Styela clava: one gene and its partner. The main gene of each other region encodes a partner of the protein of the gene in region 2 in a complex. Links are inferred from orthologs where the notes say so. Each region holds a gene or a part of one and is shown on either strand. Other genes may lie near its edges. The genes, in order: ankyrin repeat and SAM domain-containing protein 3-like and ankyrin repeat and SAM domain-containing protein 6-like.

Region 1 (7,839 bases), on a different chromosome or scaffold from region 2:
TATATCAGGTTCCGAAATATGGGCTGAGCATGCATTATACAAGTATCCTCTACTATTTGTATCTCCTATTTTTTTTAGAAAAAATAGCATCAGAAACATATGAAGTGGGGCGTCATCTCCGCAATGGAGAAAAGCAATCGAAATAACCTGGCATTTAGATATATCACACGATTCACACCCACATATCATGAATATGTATTACATTAAAAGAATTTTAGAATGACGAGACATGAGTGCATCCCCCATATTGACTTTCCCAGGAAATAATCGATGTCCCAACATTGTCTGAAGACCACAATCCTCTCTTTGCCTTTAGTAGTGCAGAATATTGAGGCAAGTCATTTGCACTTTAATTTTACAAAAGATCGAACCCCAATCAGTACCTGTACATTCAGACACTTGACCGAAAGCTGAAGTGTCAGATATTCAGAATATTGCTTTATCGGGGCACTCAGGATCCAGGGTCTACACTTGTACAACTACTAGCTTACCTGCACTGTGACAAATTCCCTTCCATATTGACAAACTTTGATGAAATATTCCCGATTCTTCAAAATTATCAATACCTTGCACTGCCATTTTTGAATATTGCCTTGAATCCGGAAATTGCTATTGGCTGAGTTTTTGTTAAGTTTTATGTAATTACCGAAAAGGGTGAAAACTGAAAAAGGTGATAAGTTACATTAGCTTTATAACAGCATTTAGCATGTTTGGCAATTTATATTTCAGTATTTCTCAACCAAAATACAGGAATAAAATTACATGTCTACATAATAATTGATACTACACTTATTTCGATATTTCCATACAGACTGGGAGGATACTGCACTTATTTCGGTATTTCCATACAGACTGGGAGATGGTGATACAGCCTACAGCGAAATGACCAAACTAAGGTAATCAGAGTCGGCCACTATTAATTCAAGCCAGATAATTGTGCGAAAAAAACAAAAATGTCCCTTACTTCCCTGATTGGTCAACTGATAAATTAAAAAATATATGAAAATAAATCCTGAAATCAATGTGCACTCCTAATGCACCAATACTAATAATGTAATGGCAAAAGGGGTACAGTACAGGCAAGACAAAAAAATAGTAGAAAATTAATAAATAGATATAGCCTATAGAGAACTCCATAATTAAAAACGGAGAATTCTGGAGCATCAGAACAACTTTTAAAACAATTTGAAACATGAAAATATCATGTGCCCGCTAACCAGTTCACACACAAATCTAGTTAAACCACGCTTGGGCCCAAAATAAACAAACAAAATACGACAAAATACAAAGATTGTATTGAACTTTCAGGCTGTTATAATTTTAAAACATATAAGCTGATATAATGACCAATTCAATCTGATACAGTATTTGACTTATTTCAAATGTCTTGGAAGGATGGAAATATAAAATTCAGTTTTTAATCTTTATGAAACTTAGAACACTGATGTTGTTAATTATAGTAATGTTCTCAGTGGTATCATGATTAACAGAAGATATTTAGCATCAAACGTAAATCTTATTAACCGCTAATATTATTTTGAAATCGAAATGATCAATTGATCATTACAAAAAAAACCTTCCACACCAGGGTACTGACACTGACTGATATCAGCATAGCCATATATACAGATATAAGACAGGATTTACATATTTATCCCAGGGAAGAGGAAAGTCGATGAGACCGGTTATTCATATGGCGAACCACGGCCTCTCGTCCAGCTACCAGTCCACATTGGGCAGGGTTTCCCAAACTGGGGTCCGTGATGACTGCACAGGGTGGCCGCAATGATATGAACGATGAGTCATGAAACACATAGATTTTACCATATATCCACTGTCAGACAGACATTCGTAAACGAGATAAAGTCATAAGTTCATGCAATCACAAATCGTTATTGTTGGGGGTGAAAAGATGTTGTAGAACGATTCTTACTTTTGGCGTCTATGAGGTAGACCTCCGTCACAGGGCTACATCGTTGGTAATAATTGATTGAATGGGTTACTGAGTTATCACCAGTCGATAACTTGTACGACTTTGCTAAGACATTTGAGCCTGTTACCGTTGCTGCAAGGAAGGAGGGGCATCTTATCGAATTGCCATTGGTCTACCAGTATTATAACTTCAATATGTATTGAATCAGGCTTTCATGAGTTTTATTTCGTCAAAGGAAACATCATCTTTTCTCGTTAGTTAGACAAAGAAATTGATACGGCATAGGATGGGGGTCCGTCACAAATAAAATTCACAAACAGAGGTCCGCGGCCCAAAAAGTTTGGGAAACTCTGATATAGGGTATGCTGGTATAGGAGTAGTTAGCCAATTATTTGTTTTCAGATGCATGGACTTGATGGTGGAGGAAGCCATAACCTCCCAGCGGATACGGGAACCACCCTACGGCAGCGAGGAGTCCAGCAATCCTCTCGCATATAATAAACCCCACATGGAATTCGAACCCACGCAGGGTAATCAGAGGTGCGGTGGCGTGCCAGATTGCAAGTTACGTCAGTACGCAGGTACGTAACGTAAGTTACCCTATTATCGCCACTCTTTATTGCAATCCATCCAAAGACCACAATACTTTTAAGTACAGAAGTACCAATTTCTCTATATTATACCAGAACATTAGCTACAAATTGGAAAAAAAAAATGCCAACAACAGCGAGTCGCGAAATGAATTTGTTGATAGCCTATGCATGTCTGTTTGCATATGACAGTATGATTGTATCTAGGACGCTTCACACAAAAGTTATCAGTATTATTAGACTACATGGAAATCTATTTTTAAAATAAATTGTGTCTGAGTTGGCATGCATGAATAATTATTGTTTATTACTCACCCGTACCGGTACCGGTATGTCAGTATGGGCTGACGGACAACTCGACTACACGGGTAGTCGAGTTGTCCGCCTCCCTCAGTATGTACCGGTACCGTACAGTACTATTAATAAACTTCATGGAATTACCGGTACTTCTAGTCAAAATTTGGCATTGGAAAACTGATTAATCACATAAAATAAAGAATGCAGGTACCGGTACCAGGTACCGTATCATAGACCTGTAGACAGATATAACACTTAAGTTAAGCTTTAACTCACTCATATTTGATGATTCTCGATTCTCAACAAATAACTTATATTTCCAAGTCTGCAAGTTGTAAGGTTCAATTGTAACTGCAGAGCTGTATAAACTTTTTTGAAAACAATTTAATACATTTGTCCAGGGATGGCCAATACCGAATAGTTCACTATTTCGAATACATTCAAAATTATTATTTTCGAATATGAAATTTCGAATACTTCGAAAATAAATTCAAGTAAAATAAGCTTATCTTGGTGTATGTCAGTATTTGCATACAATAAACAATGGAATAACCGTTATCTACAAGCTGGCTACCAGAAAATTTATACCCGCTGTTGACGTGGTATTTCAAATTTATTTTCAAATTTATTCAAATTTATTTTCACAAAAGTAATCCTTTCATTTTTTCGTAGGACGGCGCAACCATGAGTTAGGCTACGTTGAACGCAATTAAATTAATACCGCAAGACATTTTAAATTCTGTTATCAGTCGTCGATTTATTAAATAAGTCAATACTTTTACCTATCATTATCAAAACTATTTGCCGGAAGTGGGTAAAAGTATAAATTATTTTTGTGAGTATGAAAATATAAATTAAAAATTAATTATATTCCGGCATTTTACCACACATATTTCCACAGATTGTCGCATTATTTTAAAGTTGTAATGCTTTTGTTTTTCGTATGTACAAAACTGGGAATCGAAAATTAATCATAATCAGGTAGTTACCACACATTTTATGTCCACAGATTGCCGCCGTATCTTTTAGAGTAGTTATGCATCAATTTATTCGTAAGGTCGACGTAACTATGAGTTACCTTAAACACAATTAAATTAATTCGGTAAGACATTTTAAATGCTGTTGTCGTTCATGAATTTGAATATTTTGTCGCAACGGAAAATCATCCTAGATAAAAGTCCATACTTTTAATTATCATTATCAAAAGTAGTTTCCTAAAAGCGGGAAATAGTATAAATTATTTTTCCACGAGTACGAAAATACAAATCAAAAATTAATTGTAATCGGGCAGTTTACCACACATTTTATGTCCACAGGTAGTTGTGGTATTTTAGAGTTGTAATAGTTTTTCCTGAGTAAGGAAATAGGAATAAAAAATTTATTATAAATGGGGCAGTTTACCACACAATTTATGTCCGCAGATCGCCTCAGTATTGAATAGATTAGAATAGATAGATTAAACAAAATTAAATTAATACGGTAAGGCATTTTAAATGCTGTTATTGTTCACGAATTTGAATATTTTGTCGCAACGGAAAATCACCATAGTATAAAGTCGATACTTTTTGACTATCATTATCAAACTTATTTGCCAAAAATCGGGAAATAGTGTAAATGATTTTTCCTAATAAATCAACTTGTTTTTTCCGACCTGCGACAATTTATTGGGTGTCGTAATTTGTAACAAAGCGTACGACTTTATTTAACTTATTTAATATCTGACTTACTGGTAATGGATTTATGTGAGACTCGTGACTCGATACAAATGAATGCGTAAATTAGAAGCCTTGCAAGGGAATGGCAATAGTGCCAATCTCACAACCGTACAAATGTGTTGCAACAATATGAGGCGAATGCTGGCACAGAAGATAACAAACAACTTAAGCGCCGATACTATTTCACCGTCATTACAAAACGTGACAAAGCGCGGAAAATCGTTTGAAGAGTTCTCTTTAAAACGAAACAAAACTCCTTGCTGACGGCGAAAAGTGGCTATTATTCGGAATTATTCGAAAATCAGCCGAAAAGGTATTCGAATACTTTGATATTCGAATGTTTTCGAATATTCGATTCGTTTTGGACAACCCTGCATTTGTCTGCAAATAATACCGGTATAAAGCAGCACGGCATGAAATCTAGTAAACACAAACATAATAATAGTGCCTGTTCAGATGTTAACGGTACCGGTACCGTACCGGTACAGCTTACCGGTATCACATTTCTGCATTAACGATAAGATAAGTTAATTTCAGTACCGTACCGGTACCGTTACAGCTGTACAGTACCGGTACCGTATTCAGACTCCATGATTAGCATAAAAGGCGATTAAATGATTGATAAAAACTGATTACAGGATTATGAAATCAGGAGAACAATCAAAACCTTGGATAACTGGATAAAGTTTAACAGTATGGGTACCGTATCGTACACCTCTGTGAAGCTACGAAATTGTGACTGACAGAATCGCAGAAAATACCCACGCGTAAAAATAAATGTTCCCAATGATTTTCAAAAGAAAGTGTATATTTTGATTAGTTTCACAATAGCAATTAAAGCAAAACAATCATTAATTACACTCCTCGTATTGTTAATATATAGTAAACAAGCTAAAGCGACTGTTACAGTGCACAAAATTTTTTTATAATTCTTTGAGAGATGTTTAAAAATGACTGAATTTTCGTCGTGTAACATGGTCTTTTCATGAAAACCTCCAATAAAGGCAGCATTACAACTAGGGTTGGATTATCCGGATAGCGGTTAACCGGATAATCGGTTAACCAAGAGGTATTTTGCTATCTGATATCCGGATATTATTGTAACGGTTAACCGGATACTAGAGCAGTATAAATAATGCATATGCGCATTAGGTATTTTTATATTTTTTGTTGAGTGGCCACCAACGACTAACATACCGGCCACTGACATCTGTCAGAGCATATAATAATCACTTATATCCACACTACTCGGCCTATATTTTAGTCATCCGTGTAATGCTGGAGTGAACTTGACTATAGTATTACATCACAAAACACGCAGAAAAATGTGATTATTGCGTATTTGCGTTATAGAAGAGCCCGACTTACCTTAAAGTAAAAGCATTTCTACTCTAGATATGAAAATAAATGGTTATCTGCACGAACAAATCCAATTTGTTATTTTAGCGATCTTGAAAATTCATCAAATTTGAGCTGTTATTGCAATTCCAATGAGTATAATTTATTAAGTACAATAAATGCAGATATTAATTAGCTTATAGCGTAAATATATACTGCTTATAGTTATATATCAACATTTTCGAGAGAAAAGTCGGGTTCAGTCTCAACGGTATATAACGCCGATAATTGTTTTATTTCGCCCGGAACTGAAATGGCCGCAGTATGTTATCTATCGTCGTATCTATCTATCGTTAAGAGAGTAGATCTGAAACACACATTTTTGACTGAAAATAGGGAAGTGAATGCTAACGAAAATACCACGACTCTTGTTTTATCAGCCAGTGATAGATAAAACAAGACTGTTAGGCGCTGTTGAATCGCCAAAATTTCGTAATAAGGGTAACTTTTCACGGGATGTAACTTCTTTTCAAATCAAAACTGGCATAATGCCGATGTTAATTCCCCAAATAATCACGCGACGCGGAAGAAAACGATCTGCGATGATAACAAAATTAGCCTGTAAAATTCGACCGCCTTTATTAGTGACGTTTTCGAAAATTTCAAAAATAGGAGGAAAGGCTGTTATTACATTTATGGTTTTTATGGAACTTTCACAAACAAATTTGTTTGAAAATTGATCTATAATATTTCAGCAAAGTTTAATTTGACAGACTCTGTATCGTGTCATGTTTTTCGTTTACTCATTTAGGGTGGTAGGTAAAGTTGTTCAAAAACTGGCGCAGCATTGTTTTGGTTCTGTTAATTTAGTTTAAAAGGTATTCGAATGGAAATATATTTAAAGTTGTGGCCTAATTAGTACAAACGTGAGAATATTTACAGTGGCATGTTAAATGAGTGAAGTTTTCAAATTAGAAGAAATTTCTGACCACTTCGGTTTTTTCATAATCATCAATTTGCTTTGTTATTAAATTTTTTGTTCAAATTACTTATATTTTCCTATACACTTCACGTAATTTGTCTCCCCTATATTCTATTTTTTTTTGGATACTTCTCTCACCGAAATAAAATGTTCGAAATGCACGATTTTCTGTGTTCATGATTTCATTTATATGTATGCTCTTGTGGTATATATTAACAAAGTTTATTTCGTCGTGCAAGAAATCACAAAATATTATAGAACACAAAATACTATACATGACAATATTAAATTTCATTGCAATTGATAGGAAGGTGCGGATGATCAGAAATGATCATTGTGAGTGTGCGACACTAAAATTTAGTACGAGTCAAAATTTAAAGAAAAGAGGATCTAGACACAAAAAGAAACTTTTAAAAAAAATTAACAATAAAGTAGAAATAATATAAATCTTTACATATTATTTGAATAGGAGAAAATAACTTAGCAGTCGGGGGAAAAACAATTAGGACACAATATTTTCAAAAAATGTTTCATTTTATTATTCCGCTGTACATCGGTACGATTACTGAGCCCAAATTATTATTTATTGACACATGCAATATTAAAATGCACAATCATTCTTAGTCAAGAAAAATAATACATATGTGAGTATTTACAACAGAATTGTGTGGTGGTTTTTGGTCAATTCACCGCGAAAATCCTGCGAAATCGGTTCTCTAAAATCAGCAGTAACTATCCGATTAACCGGATATTTAAAATACGCAATACCCGGATATATCCGTTATCCGGATAGTGAAAATTATAGATATCCGAACTAACCCTAATTACAACACCATTGGTGAAAAGTTCAATATGTCAGTTCGATTTCAATATGTCAGAAGTCTTTTTTTAAACACTATTTTCTTGTTAAATTTAGTGTACATCTATTTTCGTGCCAATATTATATTTTGATCAGCATTTCAATTTTCATATTTACCTATAAGT
Region 2 (8,196 bases):
AACAGAGAATATGGCACATTTGGTATAAAAAACAGAAGATATTTAGTCATAATGAAATTAATTAAGAGATAATTGTTAGATCATAATCAGCAACAAAAGACTTCTGATACCTAGTACCAGTATATTTTAAAATCCAAAATTATAGCTGAAACTTTTTAAATCCACAAAAGTGCACAGTCAGAGTCATTTTTAATACAAACAAAGTAATACTTCACAATGAAGGCAATATAAAAGAAGCAACAAAGAGTTTTGTGAATCAGTGATGTTAAAAGAGGTTTTGAATTCCATTCAATGGTTAAGTAAATAATCATTCAACATATGATGCTTCTGAAAGAAAACATAACTTCAACTATAAAAAAGCAGGGTTGTTTAACCTATGAAACTTTTATCAGGACTGTAGAGGATATGAAAACAGAAAAAAAAGTATCACAATTGTAAATTTTCTATACTAAAAATATGGCATCATTGTGGAACATATACATATAGGAAGCTCAAATATATAAATCAAAATTGTGTATACATTAGTCCAAAAGAACATACCAAAGTCAAAATTGAGTGCAAGCTAATATTGATATGAAACTTTTTTAACAAAATATTTTTTAAATCATGATCCTGAACGAGGCTTAACATTAGAGTAATAGCTCCATGATGGAGGTTCAAACTGCGTTGAACTACTCGATTTCTTACTTGAATTTCGTTCTGAATCACTAGTAATACTATATGAATATGTAGGAATACCTCCCGGTTTTTTATAGTTCTCTTTTCCTTCACTTAAATGGTTAATTGCTTTCAGAAGTTGCTGTCTTGGGAATTCTTGTGTTATTCCAAGAGACCTTAAATCACCATTTGTCATTGTAAGAAATGTATCCATGTCAATTTCCTCTTTTTCAAAAATTGGGTGGTAATTTTCAAGAGAAAGTTTCTGAAGGATAACAGATAGTTCATCATCTTCATTGAATGAAGTTGGTCTTGATACGGGCCTCGCACGTCTCTTCTTTTTATGACTATGAGTAGAATCGGGGGATGACATTCCTCGACTTCCAGATCCAGTGTACCTAGATCGCATTTTATCCGAGTGAGTCTGAGGTTCTGGACTCCTTGGAGGAGTCAAAGTTGAGCTTGTACTCTGGGATGACACAATGGATACTCTACTTCCCATGCGTCTGTGACCATGAGTCTTTTGGTGGGGTTGGACTGATAGTTGTTCCGCAGATATGGATCCCCTTATTCTCCCACCACTTGCATTCGAAGAAGTATCTTTCCTTTGTTTCATTTGGGCCATCTTTGAAAGAACAGTGTCAGAATATCGATCACCGGATTGTTTGTGCGGATTATTTCCATGTTTAGGCAATGAGAAGCTATGCGTGACATCACTCGCACCACCAGAAGAATGTGGACTACTGCCAGTGTTTGAACAACCTGAATTTCCTGGGCTTTGCAAGAACTTGACAGGTTTAACAACACTACGACTGACAGAGCTTTCACCACTACTATTTAAACTTGCAGACATTGATGTTCTCGAACCTAGTGTCTTTTTTTGTGAATTGGTGTTGTGTCGATCAACTCCCGCTGTTGACTGAAAAGGAGGCTGAATAAGAGCCAATTTCTCTTCAGGCAATCTGGACTTTGGTGCACTGTGATTTGTCATGCTATAAGGATCCGCTATTGTTACACTGTTGCCATGTGAACCATCTTTTTGATCACATGCGTCATCACCAGATGCTATTAACGTACTTTCAAAATTATCCACTTTATTGGGATTCTTGAATGTGCTCCGAAAAGTACGAGTCAGTTTAATATTTTTAAATGGCTTGCCTAACTTAGACCACATGCTTTTCTTCTGTGTACCTTGACCTGGTGCTTCCTTCTGTCTATCATCAGTAGCTTGTATTTCACACGGTACAGTGTTTGCCCAGGCCATAGTAGTGTTTGTTAATTTGCTCGGTACAACATCTCCTTCTACTATTGTTTTTCCATTTGCAGCTGATGAATTACTTGTCTGCATAGCATGTTCTGCAAGTAATCTGAAAAGACTTGTAGGTGCATTGATTAAGAGTGCCATATCGAAGGCAGTTATATTATTTTTGGCTCTACATCCCACATCTGCATTCAATCCAATTAAGCACTTGGCAGCCTCAACTTTACTGTAGTAAGTTGCTTGCATTAGAGCTGTCCAACCATTTTCATAATCTTTGGCATTAACGTCTGCTCCATTTTCAACGAGCAATTTAATCATTTCTGTTTGTCCAGTAATAGCTGCATACATGAGTGGTGTGGCACCATCAGTTGTTGTTGCATTACATTCATCTTTGTGGTTGATTAAAATTTCTTTGACTTTTTCATAATCACCTTTTTTAACAGCAGCTATGATTTTGATACCTTGATCATCAACTTTTTCAGGTTTATCTGTCGTTTTTCTATCTAGATATCCCCTAATCTCCCGTAGTTCACACTCTGTGGCAATTGCAAGAGCTGTTTTTTCATGCCGGTTTTTACGATTTGGATCGCAGCCTTTATCAACCAATAAACGAGCCATGGGTAGTTGTCCAGTCATCGCAGTCACCATCAGAGCAGTCCAACCTGTAGCAATATGCCTTTGGTCAGCTGGCACTCCCCATCGCAATAAGGTACGGAGCAAATCATCCCTGCCACCCAATGTTGCCACCATGAGAGGAGTAGCAAAATGGAGAGTATTTTCAACACAGTCAACAGTGAAGTGATTTTCAAGTAAAATCTCCACAACCTTGTTATGACCCCCCTTCACCGCTAAAGTCAAGGCTGAAATTCCCATCATTGTTGTTGTATTAATATCCGTTTTGCTGTTTAGCAAATGTAATACCACACTTTCATGGCCATATCGTGCTGCTTGCATTAAAGGTGTCCAACCGTATAGATTTTTTCTATCAAGTGCAGCACCTCTAATTAAAAGAAGTCTGACTATGTTTTCATGACCATTTGCAGCTGCTATTTGTAACAAACTATTCCCATCTGCATCAGTGGTTTCAACTGAAATATCTTGATCCAAAATTGATTGAACTTTGTGTGTGTCACCATTTTCGACCGCCAACAGTAGATTTTGAATAGACTGAGGTACATTACATAGATCATACATCATAGAAACTATCAAGAATAAGCCCTTTGAATGTAAACAAACATGATGTATATTTTACTCAACATCTTATTTTTTTGTTTTATCAAGTGGTTCACACTTTTATTGTGAACAAGGCTCTAGACGAGAAGAAACTGATATGTAAGAAACTACTAATTTGAGAAGATAGAATTTTTCTATATATGAATATGGAATTGCAGTATTATGCAATAAAATTTTTAACCAACACGCAGAACTGTCCAGTTATTTATAATGTTGACCTGCATTTCACATACTGACATATAAGATCAAAATAAAAGAGAAAACTCCAGAAAATAGGACAAAACTTGAAATATTGTTCATTAAAGTTCCATTGGCAGTTGGCATTGAGCTTTGCATTAGTATCAGTTCATCGCAACTCAGATTATTCTATGTGGGTTCACAACCACAGGTTATGTGCATGAGGATTATTGGACTCCATGGCGACTTAGATCCATATACATAACCGTTGGTCTTGGTCCGTTATGGCTTACTCTACCATTAAGAAGAACTGGTTAACTATTCCTAGAGGGGAAAACAACGAGCTGAAACTTAATATGCTGATAGAGCAAGGATGGGGAACAATGTTCCCTCTAATTTTTTGTCGTGTGTGTGCGCAGAAATTTTGGTGTGTGCACACTTTTTTGGAAATGACTAATATTTGTGCAAAAACCAATGAAGAAATTTTGGCGTTCTAACCGGGTAATAAGTGGGCCAACAACAAACTTTCTCAACCTGCGAACCGAGCACATTGTTACATTACATCGAAATACGTCTGTGCGCAGTAAATCTATGCGGGTGCGCAGCCTCTGTAAGCTGTGTGCGCGCGCACACCTTAGAGGGAACACTGGTGGGGAATTACTTTCCTGAGTGGGATGGTTCCAGAAAATAGACTTTCTTACTGGGCTGAAAAATCAATACGAAACTATGAATAAAACAGTTTATTTAGAAAAAAAAACTAGTTTAACAGCTAATGCACAAGAACATCTATTGCACCAAGTGGCACAATGATTAATGGGGCTGATGTAGCCTACTGCAGGCGTCCGAAAGCTTTTTTATACTTATTCCTTAGGTTTGAATATGTTAATAAAGGAGATTTGTTTTTGCTTTTGTTAATCTGCATACTTCAGAACAATAATTCGGAAGCATGAATATAAATTCTTGAGTTAGGTGAAATCTGGTTCGTTTTATATAATATATTTAATTATGGTATTTATTTTAGTGAACAATTCATCATTTTCATCGATATTTTCAACAGAAATCGATATCCACAAAACCTGTAGTCGTAAGTTAAGCAGACACAAGTGGGTGGGCCCAATGAGACACTTCGGTGTACCGAATCCGGCACACGGACCTGATGGTGGAGGAAGCCAAAACCGACCGGCCATCATGTGGACCACACTACGTACTCTTAAAGAGTTGGTATGCACACAGTATTAATATTAAACATAAGCATAGTTCATTCTGGTAGAGCATCTTGGACAAAAGCACACAAATAAAACGGGAAAACATTTAAAAATTGGACAAATCCACAATGCCTGAATGCTGTAATGAGGTTAAGCGTAGCATCCATAACGTTTTTAATGAGATATAAATGATGAAATATTGCACACACAAAATTACCTAATCATACAAACACTCATAAAGCTGTAGTCAGGTAGTTGATTGTGTTCATCCTGTTCATCATGGAAAGTATTGATATCACATTGTCATGCAATTAGATAAACAATTTTCAAAATAGTTTTTTTTATATAAAGTATACTAAGTAAGATGAAAGAAAAGAAGAGAACACATTAAATATATTTCTTTTTTAAAGATATTAAATTTACTACTTACAGTACTGACTAAAATATAATTTTTGAGTATTTCAAAATCTTTAACAAAATTAGTCCAGATGATTTTATTTTTAAATATTGAGTCTCCAGCTCTATGTGATTGTTGTTTTTAGTAGTTAACTAAACGAATCTCTCGAAGTCCACAGAAATTTTTGAAATTTATAAGTGAAAGTAATAGCCTTCTGGTGAAAAAATCAATCTTTAACCACTGAAAATTTCGAAGAAATTGGTCCAGTACCGGTATTCGAAAAGAAAAGCGATTTTATCATGACGAAGAAGAAGAAAAACAAGAACCAGAAAAACAACATAATATTGAAACGATCGTTATGTCCACTGACGTGTCCAATAACAGAATTTCTTTGTAGCCAAATTATCGCTACGGGTATATGCCTGGTCATTCGGTCATATTAAGTAAAAATCTTAATCTTTCCTACGGCTAGTACGGTACCTGTACGTACAAGTACCTGTATAATCTAGTATTATACAATTTAATAATACTCACAGTATTTCAATAAAATCAAAAACGTAATCAAAATATCCACAATTCATGAATAGGCCTAGATGGCTAACAAATGCATGCATTCATCTATTTACATGCGCCGACATTCTGTACGGGCTTTGCTTCTCAGAAGTCACAGACGCGCAATTTTCATTAATCCAACAATGTTAAACAAATAGCTAAATCAAATCGTAAATGCTTTGTGATAAAATCCATTCAGGAATTCAATCTCGTGACACTGGAAACACAAATAAACTACGGTACCGTATCTATCTATCTATCTACAGATCTGAACACCTCAACGTGTGGACAATTAGCATATATTAAGGAACCAGAACAGCATTATCGCGGGCTGTTATTATGAATTTATGAACATTGGTCTGTTGACCCTTGACGTTCATTTGGACAAAGGGACCCATTACATTTGCACCTAGATAAGTTGCGCCAGTAAGCACCAGGAAGTTTGCACCTACATACTATGGACCTTTCCCTGAGCATCGACTTCCTTGTTTACTTCGTGACATTGGCCAATCAGCAAGATGCAAAAAGTGATGTAACAATGCTCCCTTTTCGCATCCGCTCAGACACTTTTCTCACTCAGACAGATTTTCAAGCGTTGTCGTAAACATCCCCTTGTTTTCGCGTTTTTGAACTCTATTCGTTAGTTTTCTGATGTGTTTCGCAAACTTAAATATAAATCAGATAGTTCAATGATCACTCTTTCTTTCTTGGAGTTTTAGTTTAAATGCAGTAATGAAACATTAGTGTAGAAATAGGTGTGATAGACTAGGCTAAAATTCTTTACCGGAACTTTTAAAAAACAGATTGTTGTATGCGATAAATCATAATATGGTTTGTAATACATACCCCATTTTACAGGCGCCAACTCGCAAAAGCACTTTTGAAATAGCCCCGAAAATTTTGCAATGGTAAAGTATAGGAGAATTTTGTCGGGGGTCAAAGTTCGAGGAAAGGTCCATTGCACCAATGACATTAAACAACATGATAGGCAACTCTGACGTCACTCCATAAGACTACAGGCGAAAGATTGTATTTCATGATACGCTCCAATGCACATATTTCTCGTCGCCTTTCGCGTCCGTTTTCCGCTAGCTTTTGCTACTCGGCGTCTTTTTTACGTGTAGTACCTGCATTTTTGCGCCTGTAACAAAACAAAATAATCTCTATATCTAAGAAGTTTTGCTCACTTAGAAAGCTGGAATGGCGGGCACGCTGTAAAGAGCAATTCTGGACATCATAGACGTTTTTTTTATCAGAGAAGATTACAAACGCGATAGCGGAAAGATTTGTGTGGAACATTTTGCAGATAATGACAAAGTTCAAAGTTAGTAATTTTAATGTTTGCGCTTAATCATTGAAATTTCATTTAAAGAGGGTGTCATACAAAACTGTGCTGTGATACAATTCCATAACACAAAGTTTGCACCTATCGAACTTGCTTTTGTAGGTGAATTTATTAGACATATTACATATTCAGTTAATCGTAGGTAACATTGCTGGAACATAATGCATCGTAGATAGGTTTGTTTAAATTTAGGAATTTAGCTCATAGCCCACTAATTAATATTATCTTCTATGCAGGAGGTTGCAGGGCGGCTGAATTCAACTTGCAGCCTTACCGATCACCTGACGATGCTCATTTAGTTTGGCTCGAGCAAGTCTTCTTGAAATGCTTGTGTGGATGGAAAGTGGAAACTACCTATATTTTTTGCCTTCCTCCGATTTTAGACAAATTTATTCTGAGGGATTTCGCATATAATTCTCATTGATTGTTGGCTGTTTATAATTCCTATTGATTGTGAATTCTGATTATAACAAAGAGTTAAAAAAATTTTTACCTAATTTACTGGCACCTTTTCTTGTCAATACTCCAAGCTGAGGTAGTAAACAAGACAATACATTTATGTCATCTGGAAGCAAAATATGCACACTAATTAATAGTTTGGCACATTGAGATAATACATCATGACAGAAAATACAAGTTAAAGATATGTATGACCATTACATGGTAATTAAAATTATAAAAAATTAATAGAGGCTGTGGAGTATGAAAAGTCCAAGACAAAGAAAAGAACAAATGTTCATAGCTCATGAACTCTCAATTTTGCCTCCATTTCTTTGTGAAGGCCAATATATTTCGAGTGGCTGAATTGGTTTACCTTTATGATAGCAACGATTTTGTATTTAATATAGCGAGATTATTTCAATTTAATTGAAGTGATATTATTTCCCAAAGCAATGCTTGAATCGTCTAGAATAGATCAGTGGTGTCAAACTCATGGGTTTTCGAGAGCCGCATTGCATTTTGGAAATTGTAAAAAGGGCCGCAAACAGTTTTTGATAATGAATACTTGAAAGATATTTTTAAGATAGTTTTAGTTTGTGACATATATTGTGATGCAACTAAACAGTTGGATTAAGTTTTATTATTTTCTTCAATTTCAAATGCAATTACATATTAATATTTGCATTCCACTATTATTGCAACATTTGCAAGTTACTGTATATATTATAAAAAATCATAAAATTCTATGTACAACGATCAAAATCATTTTTGAACAAGCTTTGGATAAGGAAAGAATAATACATACACTAAAAATAACTTAATCTAAATATATGAACTTAAAATTAACAAAAATAATACAGTATAAACTCAACGTTTTAATAATAACATTTGTCCTGACGTTTGGCATCTTTTTTTTGTGTCACCAGCA

What was found.
Region 1: the proteins of ankyrin repeat and SAM domain-containing protein 6-like (region 2) and ankyrin repeat and SAM domain-containing protein 3-like are in contact, whole or in part, in a crystal structure (PDB 4NL9), measured with the Homo sapiens proteins. The link is inferred for Styela clava from reciprocal best matches to the Homo sapiens genes ANKS6 and ANKS3. Residues at the interface, in NP_775822.3 of Homo sapiens: Glu796, Gln797, Glu798, Val799, Asp800, Glu802, Ala803, Thr806, Leu807, Asp811, Glu814, Leu815; in NP_597707.1 of Homo sapiens: Lys441, Tyr442, Thr470, Leu471, Phe472, Gly473, Pro474, Arg476, Lys477, Arg484.

What each region holds. Positions count from the first base shown.
Region 1 is NC_135251.1:30,860,133-30,867,971, reverse strand, and holds the start of ankyrin repeat and SAM domain-containing protein 3-like, read right to left. Parts: upstream 3,219-7,839; 5' UTR 3,097-3,218; intron 2,842-3,096; exon of another isoform or gene 2,066-2,841; 5' UTR 580-2,065; coding exon 492-579; intron 1-491. UniProt on the Homo sapiens protein: May be involved in vasopressin signaling in the kidney.
Region 2 is NC_135250.1:12,182,797-12,190,992, reverse strand, and holds the start of ankyrin repeat and SAM domain-containing protein 6-like, read right to left. Parts: upstream 3,154-8,196; 5' UTR 3,116-3,153; coding exon 605-3,115; 3' UTR 1-604.